2 linked regions of the Macaca mulatta genome follow. The protein of the gene in region 2 interacts with the protein of the main gene of each other region in a biochemical or structural test. Links are inferred from orthologs where the notes say so. Each region holds a gene or a part of one and is shown on either strand. Other genes may lie near its edges.

Region 1 (4,156 bases), on a different chromosome or scaffold from region 2:
TTACCCCCACTCCTGGGTTCCAGCAGCCCTCGGAAGAGCAGCAAAAAATGCAAGGAGTCCTCTGTGTCACTGAGAGTGAGCAGGGTGATGCCCCCTATGCCCTGCTCTGGGGAGCCTTCTAGAGTCAGGATGGCACTGAAAGTCTCTGGGGAAGGGAGGATGATGAGAGCCCGTCAGAACGCCCCCTCCCCTTTCCTGGGGATAGAGAAAACTCAGAACTTCATGCCCAGGGCTCTTTGCTCCCTACCTGCAGCCAGGGCCCGGTGCCGGATGAGAGGCCCCCAGACCTCTCCTGAAGGGTGAGTGAGTGTCACAAGTGCCACATGCAGCTGTTCTGCCCTAAGGAGCCGCAGAGACAACCGAGGCACTGCCCGCCACACCCCACAGACCTGGAGCAGAGAGACAAGAAGGCCCTACGCTCAGACACTGTGCAGGTTAGGCCAATTAGGAGGTCCAGGCAGGCCTCATGAAAAAGGAACATGGAAAGGAACCTCCAGGGTGCCCTAGGAAGCTTAAGAAAGAACCCTGGAGCCAGATGCTTGGGTTCCAGTCCTGGCTGCACCACTTACTAGCTGTGTGACCTTGAACAAATCACATTCTCCTACTGAGCCTCAGTTCCCCCTTCTGTAAAATGGTCATCATAATGTCAGTGCCTTCCTCCCACTGGGCTGTGGTGAGGACCACTGGAGGCAATGCAGAGCATGCTCTCAGCACAGTGCCCAGACTGGACAAGTGCTCATAAATGACATCATCTCACCAGGCCATCTTGGGTGGGGGCTGCAGCGTGTTCAAACAGGACACTGCCATTGGAGTCTGAGAAGCGGACTCTGGTAGGGCGGTCCAGCCTGGGAATGAGAGGTCGGGTGAGGCCAGACTGGGCCAAAAGCAGCCCCTCCCAGCTCTCCCAGTTTCCCTCCTGGCCAGCAGCTGACCCCTCCTTGCTCCTTCCCCTTTCTCACCGCCTGTAGGAGATGGAGAAGCGGAGGCTAGAGCGCAGCAGCGAGACTCGGGCTCGTGCCACCGCCTGCGACCTCGGCCCTGTCAGCAGCGCCACGAAGTCTGGGACGGGAGGAAGATGGCCTGAGCACTGTCAAACGCTGCTTTGGTGGCCCAGCCTCAACCACAACCCCGCTGTTCGCCAGCCCCCTACCCGTGTGGCCATCACCACGGGCCCGCTCCTCAGCGCCTGGCTCCCCGCGGTCGCTATAACTGCGATGCTCCGGGTCCCGCGGATACTCGAAGGACAGGCCGCTCGGCTGCCGCTCCGAACTGCTACGCTCTGCAGGGGGCGGGGTAAGAACACGGGCTTCAGCTGGCCGTGGGAAGGGCCAGTCCGAAGCCCCATCCAAGTGGCCCAGGACCCAGTACCTTGGCCCTGCCTCCCTCCCCGCAGGGCGGAGCAAGCCTTACCCTGGGGGCAGGTCTGGCAGCAGTGTCCTGGCAGCTGGCGCGGCTGCCCACAGGCCAAGGTTGGGCACTCTGGTTTGATGTTCTTGCAGGTGACCCTGCCAGGGCCCCTGGTACGGCGACCCCACTGAAGCTGCTCCCGGAAAAGGCGGGAAACCCAAGTGAGCGCAAGAAGCCAACTGATGAGACCCCCAGGCAAGGATGTCCCGCAGAGTCAGCCAGCTCTGCCACTTACAATCTGCGTGACCCTAGACAAGCTACTTCGTCTCTCTGGGCCTCAAGGTCCCTGTCTGGAAAATGGGGATAATAATACTCTCGCTATCTAGCAAGGCTGCCATGGGAGTTAGGTGAGCTGGGAACGAAACGGAGTTGGCACAGAGCCTCACACAGAGTGGGCGATCAGTAACAGCACCTAAGACTTGAAGGGGCTGATTCCCCTTCCTCCACCAGAAAAGCATCCCCAACATCTGCCGACTGGGCTCCTTCTCAGCACTTCGACGTCCGCGCGACTCGCGCTCCCCACCAGTCAGGGCCCGGGCCGGCCGCGGGGCTCACTCACCGCCTCGCAGGCGCACAGCACGCAGCGCATCACCCCGAAGGGCTCCCCCAGGTCCGGGTGCCACGTCTCGTCCAAGGCATAGACCTTCCCGCCGAAGGAGCAGCCTGCGGGGACGGGCTTGGCTGGAGGCCGCTGCCCAGCTCGCGCCGTGTGCCGCCCCCGGGGCTGCCCGCGGGTCCCGGGTCCCGGGCACCGCGCCCTTCAGCCCCCGCCCACCCTCCGGGCGGCCCGCCGCGCCGAGCCACCTGCGCCCCGCGCCCCCTCCGGACTGGCGCTGACTCGCCCCGAGCCCGTATCTCCGCCCGCGCCTCCCCCGGGCGCCCACCTACCTGCTGCTCCCCGAACGGGCAGCGGCTCCTTCTCGGAACGGATGGGCAGCGCGGGGGGCTCAGGGCCGGCGCCGCGGGCCGGCCGGGAGCCGAGCAGCAGCAGCCCGAGAAGCAGCAGCGGGGCCGGCGGGGCCGGGAGGCTCGGCATGACGCGAACGGGACAGCTGGGGAGGCGGGAGGGAGGAGGGCGCGGGAGCGGGCGGAGGGAGGGAGGCGGGAGTGCGGAGGGCGGAGGGCCGGGCCGGGGGCGGTGCGGCGGGAGGGGGCCGGGGCCGGGGCCGGGGCCGGGGCAGTGCAGTAAGGGGCTCGTCGGGCGGCCGCAGAGTCGGCGCCGGGCCGGGCGGGGCGGGAGGAGCGGCCGGGAGGAGCGCGGGCAGTCGGGCGCTGACCCGGGCCGTACGCGGCTCTACTGCCCCGGGCGCCGGCTCCGGCCCGTTTTATGCCCCGCGCCCGACGCCCCGGCCGGGGGCCTCCTCCTCAGCAAACGGGGCGGCGGCGGCAGCTCGGCGAGGGGCCGGGCTGAGCCCGGGGGGTCCGGCCCAGCAGCAGCGGCCCGGATCGCGGGTGGGGGAGGGGAGGGAGGGCCTGGGACCGGGCAGGGGAGGAGGGAAGAGCGGGAGGAGGAAGGGGAGCGGGGGAGGGGGAGGGGAGGGACCAGGGGGCGCGAAGAGGGGGAGGAGAGGCGGGCCCGGAGCCCCCCGCTGCTGGCGGCCACAGGGCGGCTGGACCAGGAGGTCGGTGTCCAGCCCAGGAGGGGAGCCTCAGGCCAGGGAGGGGCAGAGGCTAGGCCTGAGGCCTGGACCGCTCAGTGAGCAGGACCCGGTTCCGCCCGAAGGATGAAGACTTGTCTTAAAAGATGACAACGTACAGGAAAGGCCCATCAGCCGATCTCCCCCGGCCCACAGCGCCCCTCAAACCCTCACCACCCTCTCTCACTGCCTAGCCTGCCTCCCTACCTCCTCTCTGAGGTCGCTCCTCATTCTTGTGTTACCCAGGACACGGACCTAGCCAGAAAGCGGCAGCATTCCCCTTTCTGTGGAATGACAGTGTCTCTCTCTCATTGTAACTTATCCTCAGGCCCATTCGACCATCCCCTCTTGCTTCCTCACCCCCTTCCTTCACCCAAGGGACCCTCTGCCTCTCCAACCCACTCCCAGCCTCCTTTCTCTTAGTTCCAGTGGTCATGCCTGCCTCCCTGTCTCTCCCACCCACACACACCCACTATCCTCCCAGCTATCCCAGCACCCTCCTTCCTAATCTTGGGAGACATCTCGTCTGGCTGGTCGGGAAAATTCCAGGATCTAGGCCACACTTCTCAGCAGACATGCCCATCCTTGGGGAGGAGGAACAGGAGAGAGTCTGAGGAAGTTCTAGGGGACAGGGGGATGATGGGAACAAGGTCAGGCTGGGACACCCCTGAGGACAGAGACTGTGGGGAGACTGGGACTAGGAAGAAAGCAAAGGAGCTAGAGCCAGGGCCAAAGGAAAAGGGGGGCCAGCAGGGAGGTATTTGCGGGGGAGGTCCAGCAGCTGTCTTTCCTAAGACAGGGACACATGGGCCTGGTTATTCCTCTTGTCACATGTGGAACGGTAGGAGATGGAAGAGGGAGACAGAACAAGCAAAGGAGGGCCCCATGCACAGAGAGCTGTGTGTGTAGCCCTCCAAGTCACTAGACCCCAGCAGACCAGCACCTAAGCCCAGGCTTAACCCGGTTCATGCCTGCGCACATATATGCGCCCCGCACCTGACAGTCCTCTCAACCAGTCTAAACCCTTTCCCCATAACACCAGCCCATAACAGGAGATTTCTCTCATGTGGGCAATATCCGTATTCCCACTTCGAAAAGGGGTATAACAAGAC
Region 2 (3,500 bases):
GGAAACTAAAGCCAAAGCTTTGCCCAAAGTCACCTGGTAGTTTAGCAGGGGACCCCTCCATGCAGCTTTCCCTTGTGCCATACCTACTAGTCCCCACTAAGGTCACATGAGCCTTACTTGTTAGCAGGCCACCAGGTCACCCTCCAATGCCACCTACCCTTATTCCATAAGGTACCACATCAGGATCTTCCCTCAAGCTGGAGAGGAAAACTTCAGGCACACTACAGTGTTCCAAGAGCAGGCCCTCAATAAGAATCCCTGCCCTTTGGCATGGTGGCTCATGCCTGTAATCCCAGCACTTTGGGAGGCCAGGGAGGATGGATCACTTGAGGCCAGGAGTTCGAGACCAGCTTGGCCAACACCGTGAAATCCCGTGTCTACTAAAAATATAAAAAATTGGCCAGGCGTGGTGTTGCATGCCTGTGGTCCCAGTTACTTGGGAGGCTGAGGCATGAGAATTACTTGAACTCAGGAGGCAGAGTTTGCAGTGAGCCAAAATGGTGCCACTGCATTCTAGCCTAGGTAACAGAGTGAGACCCTGTCTCAAAAAAAAAAAAAAAAAAAAAGAGAGAGAGAACAAAAGAAAAAAGAATCCATGCCCCTGCCCTTTGGGAAGGGGGGGCTATTTGTGTGCTCTCAGGACCATGTCTCAAACATCAGCATTGGCAGTGAGGAGCTTTCACCCTTCTACAGAGCAGTGAGGGGCTGGAGAGAACAGACACAGCCCAGCCCCTCATCCCTCCCATTCCCGCATCCATGCACAAGTACCACATGAATTTTTAGGAGTTTGGACCACAATCAAGGATAAGAAGAAAGCATCCCTGACCTTAAAGAGCTTTGAGTCCAGCTAGGGAGACATAGGAGCAAATCCTTTCAATATGGTGTGATAAGTGACAGGGTAAGAGTGTGAGCACAGACGAGGGAGAAAACAGGGAAAATGGAGGGATAGTCATGTTTAGGGGGCAACTGGGAAAGATGAATAGGAGAAGCTCCTGAGATGGGCCTCAGAGGATGCACAGAAATTTGCAAAGTGGGAACAGGAGAGCCCAGGAGGGATTACAGTGTTGGGCAGAGTGTCAAGATCTGGAGTGAGAAAGCTCGGGTTCCAGTCCCAGCTCTGCCACTCACTAGCTGTGTGATCCTGGGCAGGTCACTTTACCTCTGTGAGTCTTAGTTTCTGGACCTGTCAAACAGGAGTTGTCCTGACACCGCCTTTAAAGGTGGTTGGGGACAGTCAGGCTAGACAATACTTTTGAAAGTGGTTTGTAAACTGTAAGCAGAAAGAATGTCAGTTCTTAGTTGCTAGGGATGTCTGTATTTACTACTCCTTTGGGGAAGGGATGAAGATATCCCGAGGGAAGATAGGCCCATGTGCTGGGGTCAAGCTCATGGCCTCTGTCCTGGGAGGGCCTGGCTGGGAACAGGGAGAGTCCTTGTTTCCCTAAGACTGGAATTCATTTCTAGGACACAGAGGGCCCTTTGGCACCCGACTTACCTGCACCTTTGATGGAGGACTTACGAGTGGTGTGCTGTCTAAGATCCGCAGCCTGCTGTACCTGGAAGGCCCTCAGGTCCTCTTCGTCCAGGGCAATGTCCCCAAGAAAGGCAGCTAAAGAGAAAAGAAGAAGCCAGGGCTGAGTTAATCTCCCTTCCCAGCCCTGGGTGCGACGTGCTTCTAGCCCCACCCCTGTGGGCACCAGCCCCCAACCTCCACAGCGACTGTGATCCTCAAATGCCATCTGAACAAGAAGGAGAAGGGCAGTTAGGGATCAGCTTATAGAATTTCTTGGGAAGCTCATGCTTACTTTTCAGTTAAAAATCCCAATAAAGCTGATGCTCAGTCCCTACCAGGCTGTTAGCTCATCATTCTTTGGGGAGTGTGGGGCAGATAGGGTCTCACCGCTGTGCCCAGCTAATTTTTTAAAATTAGCAGGATCTTGCTATGTTGCCCAGGCTGGTCTCAAAATCCTGGCTTCAAGAGATGCTCCAGCCTCCTCAGCCTCTCCAGTGGCTGGGAATACAGGTATGAGCCACAGAGCCATCATTCTTCAGCAAATACTTAGTTAACATACTACTGTGGTGGAGACAATACCCTAGTCATTAGCAAGACAGAAGAGGCCCCTGCTCCTGTGGAGCTAACCTTCCATAATATGCAAGTAAATAAATACTGACCTAGGGTCTTCTAGATAGCAACGGGAGCTATGAAGAAAATAAAACAGGATGTGCTGAGCATGTGGTGTTCACTCAGCAAATGCTGTTTCAGTTTAACCAAGGTTGGGGGGGTCTATGAAATAAAGTAAGCCAGGTGCAGTGGCTCACACCTGTAATCCCAACACTTTGCGGGGGTCGAGGTGGGCGGATCATTTAAACTCAGGAGTTCAGGATCAGCCTGGGCAACATGGTGAAACCCTGTGTCTATAAAAAATACAAGAATTAGCCAGGCATGGTGATGTGATGCATGCCTGTAGTTCCAGCTACTCACTCTGGAGGCTAAGGCAGGCGGATCAATTGAGCCCGGGAGGTCAAGGCTGCAGTGAGCTGAGATGATGCCACTGCAATCCAGCCTGGGCAACAGAGTGAGACCCTGTCTCAAAAAAAAAAAAAAAAAAAAAAAGGAAATAAAATTGCACCAATTTTCATTAGAACAGATAAGCATCTTTGGGAAACGAAGATACCTTCCGGGAGCTTCCCAGCTAGGAGAAAAAAGTTTAACAGTTCTCAAGTAATTCCTATTCCAAGTCTTAGGCTGCTCAAGCAGAAAGGCCAGAGGGGAAGAGAGCCTCCCTAAAGGGCCATTCCGATTCCAGTATGTGGAGCTGAGGAGGGATGTTTCCAGAGACCCGGCTGAACTGTCTGTCTCCCTTTTGCGAAATCTGTAGAAAAGGAAGCAGAGGCCATAGAACTGGCCGCTTTGGAAGGCGCTCATATGGGAGCTGCATGCTGAGCTGAGCTGGGCTGGGGGAGGCGGGAGGCTGGGCTAGAGGTGGGACCCACAGCGGCTTCCCTGCAGCTCCACCCACGGCAACATCTGCTTCTCATCCAGGCAGAGCGCTATACAGGCCTGGCGGTCGCATTACACAAATTGTTTTAACCTTGAGGACTTCTACACAGGTTTTTCCTCCCCAGTTGGCCTCACTGGTGAACACACACACACACTGACTTCATCACATACAGAATCAGACACCCAAGGTTAGTGTTCCTACGGACACACGGTGGCATCCACACCCTTGCCATCCAGTGCAGAGCCATCAAAGCCAGAGACACACATCCTTGCACACGAAAGCAGCGCCCAGCACTGCACTTTCAGGCGGGAGACACTCCAGGATGTTCAAATGAATGAATTGCTACGCTGATATTCTTCTGGCTTGCAAATACATGCCCAGAGACACACCCTCACCTAGACAGGATCAACAGAATGTGGGAGTGACTGTGGCAGTCATCGAGGCCAAACTTCCATTTTATAGATGAGAAAACTGAGGTCCCAAAAGCAACAACTTAAC

What was found. The genes of interacting proteins can lie anywhere in the genome.
Region 1: of the proteins of BMP1 (region 2) and CHRD, one has a biochemical effect on the other in vitro, tested with the Homo sapiens proteins (3 studies listed by BioGRID and IntAct). The link is inferred for Macaca mulatta from reciprocal best matches to the Homo sapiens genes BMP1 and CHRD.

Annotation. Positions count from the first base shown.
Region 1 is NC_133407.1:96,518,918-96,523,073, reverse strand, and holds the start of CHRD (chordin), read right to left. Parts: upstream 2,801-4,156; 5' UTR 2,444-2,800; coding exon 2,296-2,443; intron 2,259-2,295; exon of another isoform or gene 2,071-2,258; coding exon 1,967-2,070; intron 1,569-1,966; exon of another isoform or gene 1,541-1,568; coding exon 1,411-1,540; intron 1,280-1,410; coding exon 1,151-1,279; intron 1,060-1,150; coding exon 960-1,059; intron 846-959; coding exon 758-845; intron 390-757; coding exon 248-389; intron 146-247; coding exon 1-145. UniProt on the Homo sapiens protein: Dorsalizing factor. Key developmental protein that dorsalizes early vertebrate embryonic tissues by binding to ventralizing TGF-beta family bone morphogenetic proteins (BMPs) and sequestering them in latent complexes.
Region 2 is NC_133413.1:23,816,975-23,820,474, reverse strand, and holds part of BMP1 (bone morphogenetic protein 1 precursor), read right to left. Parts: intron 1,610-3,500; coding exon 1,496-1,609; intron 1-1,495. UniProt on the Homo sapiens protein: Metalloprotease that plays key roles in regulating the formation of the extracellular matrix (ECM) via processing of various precursor proteins into mature functional enzymes or structural proteins.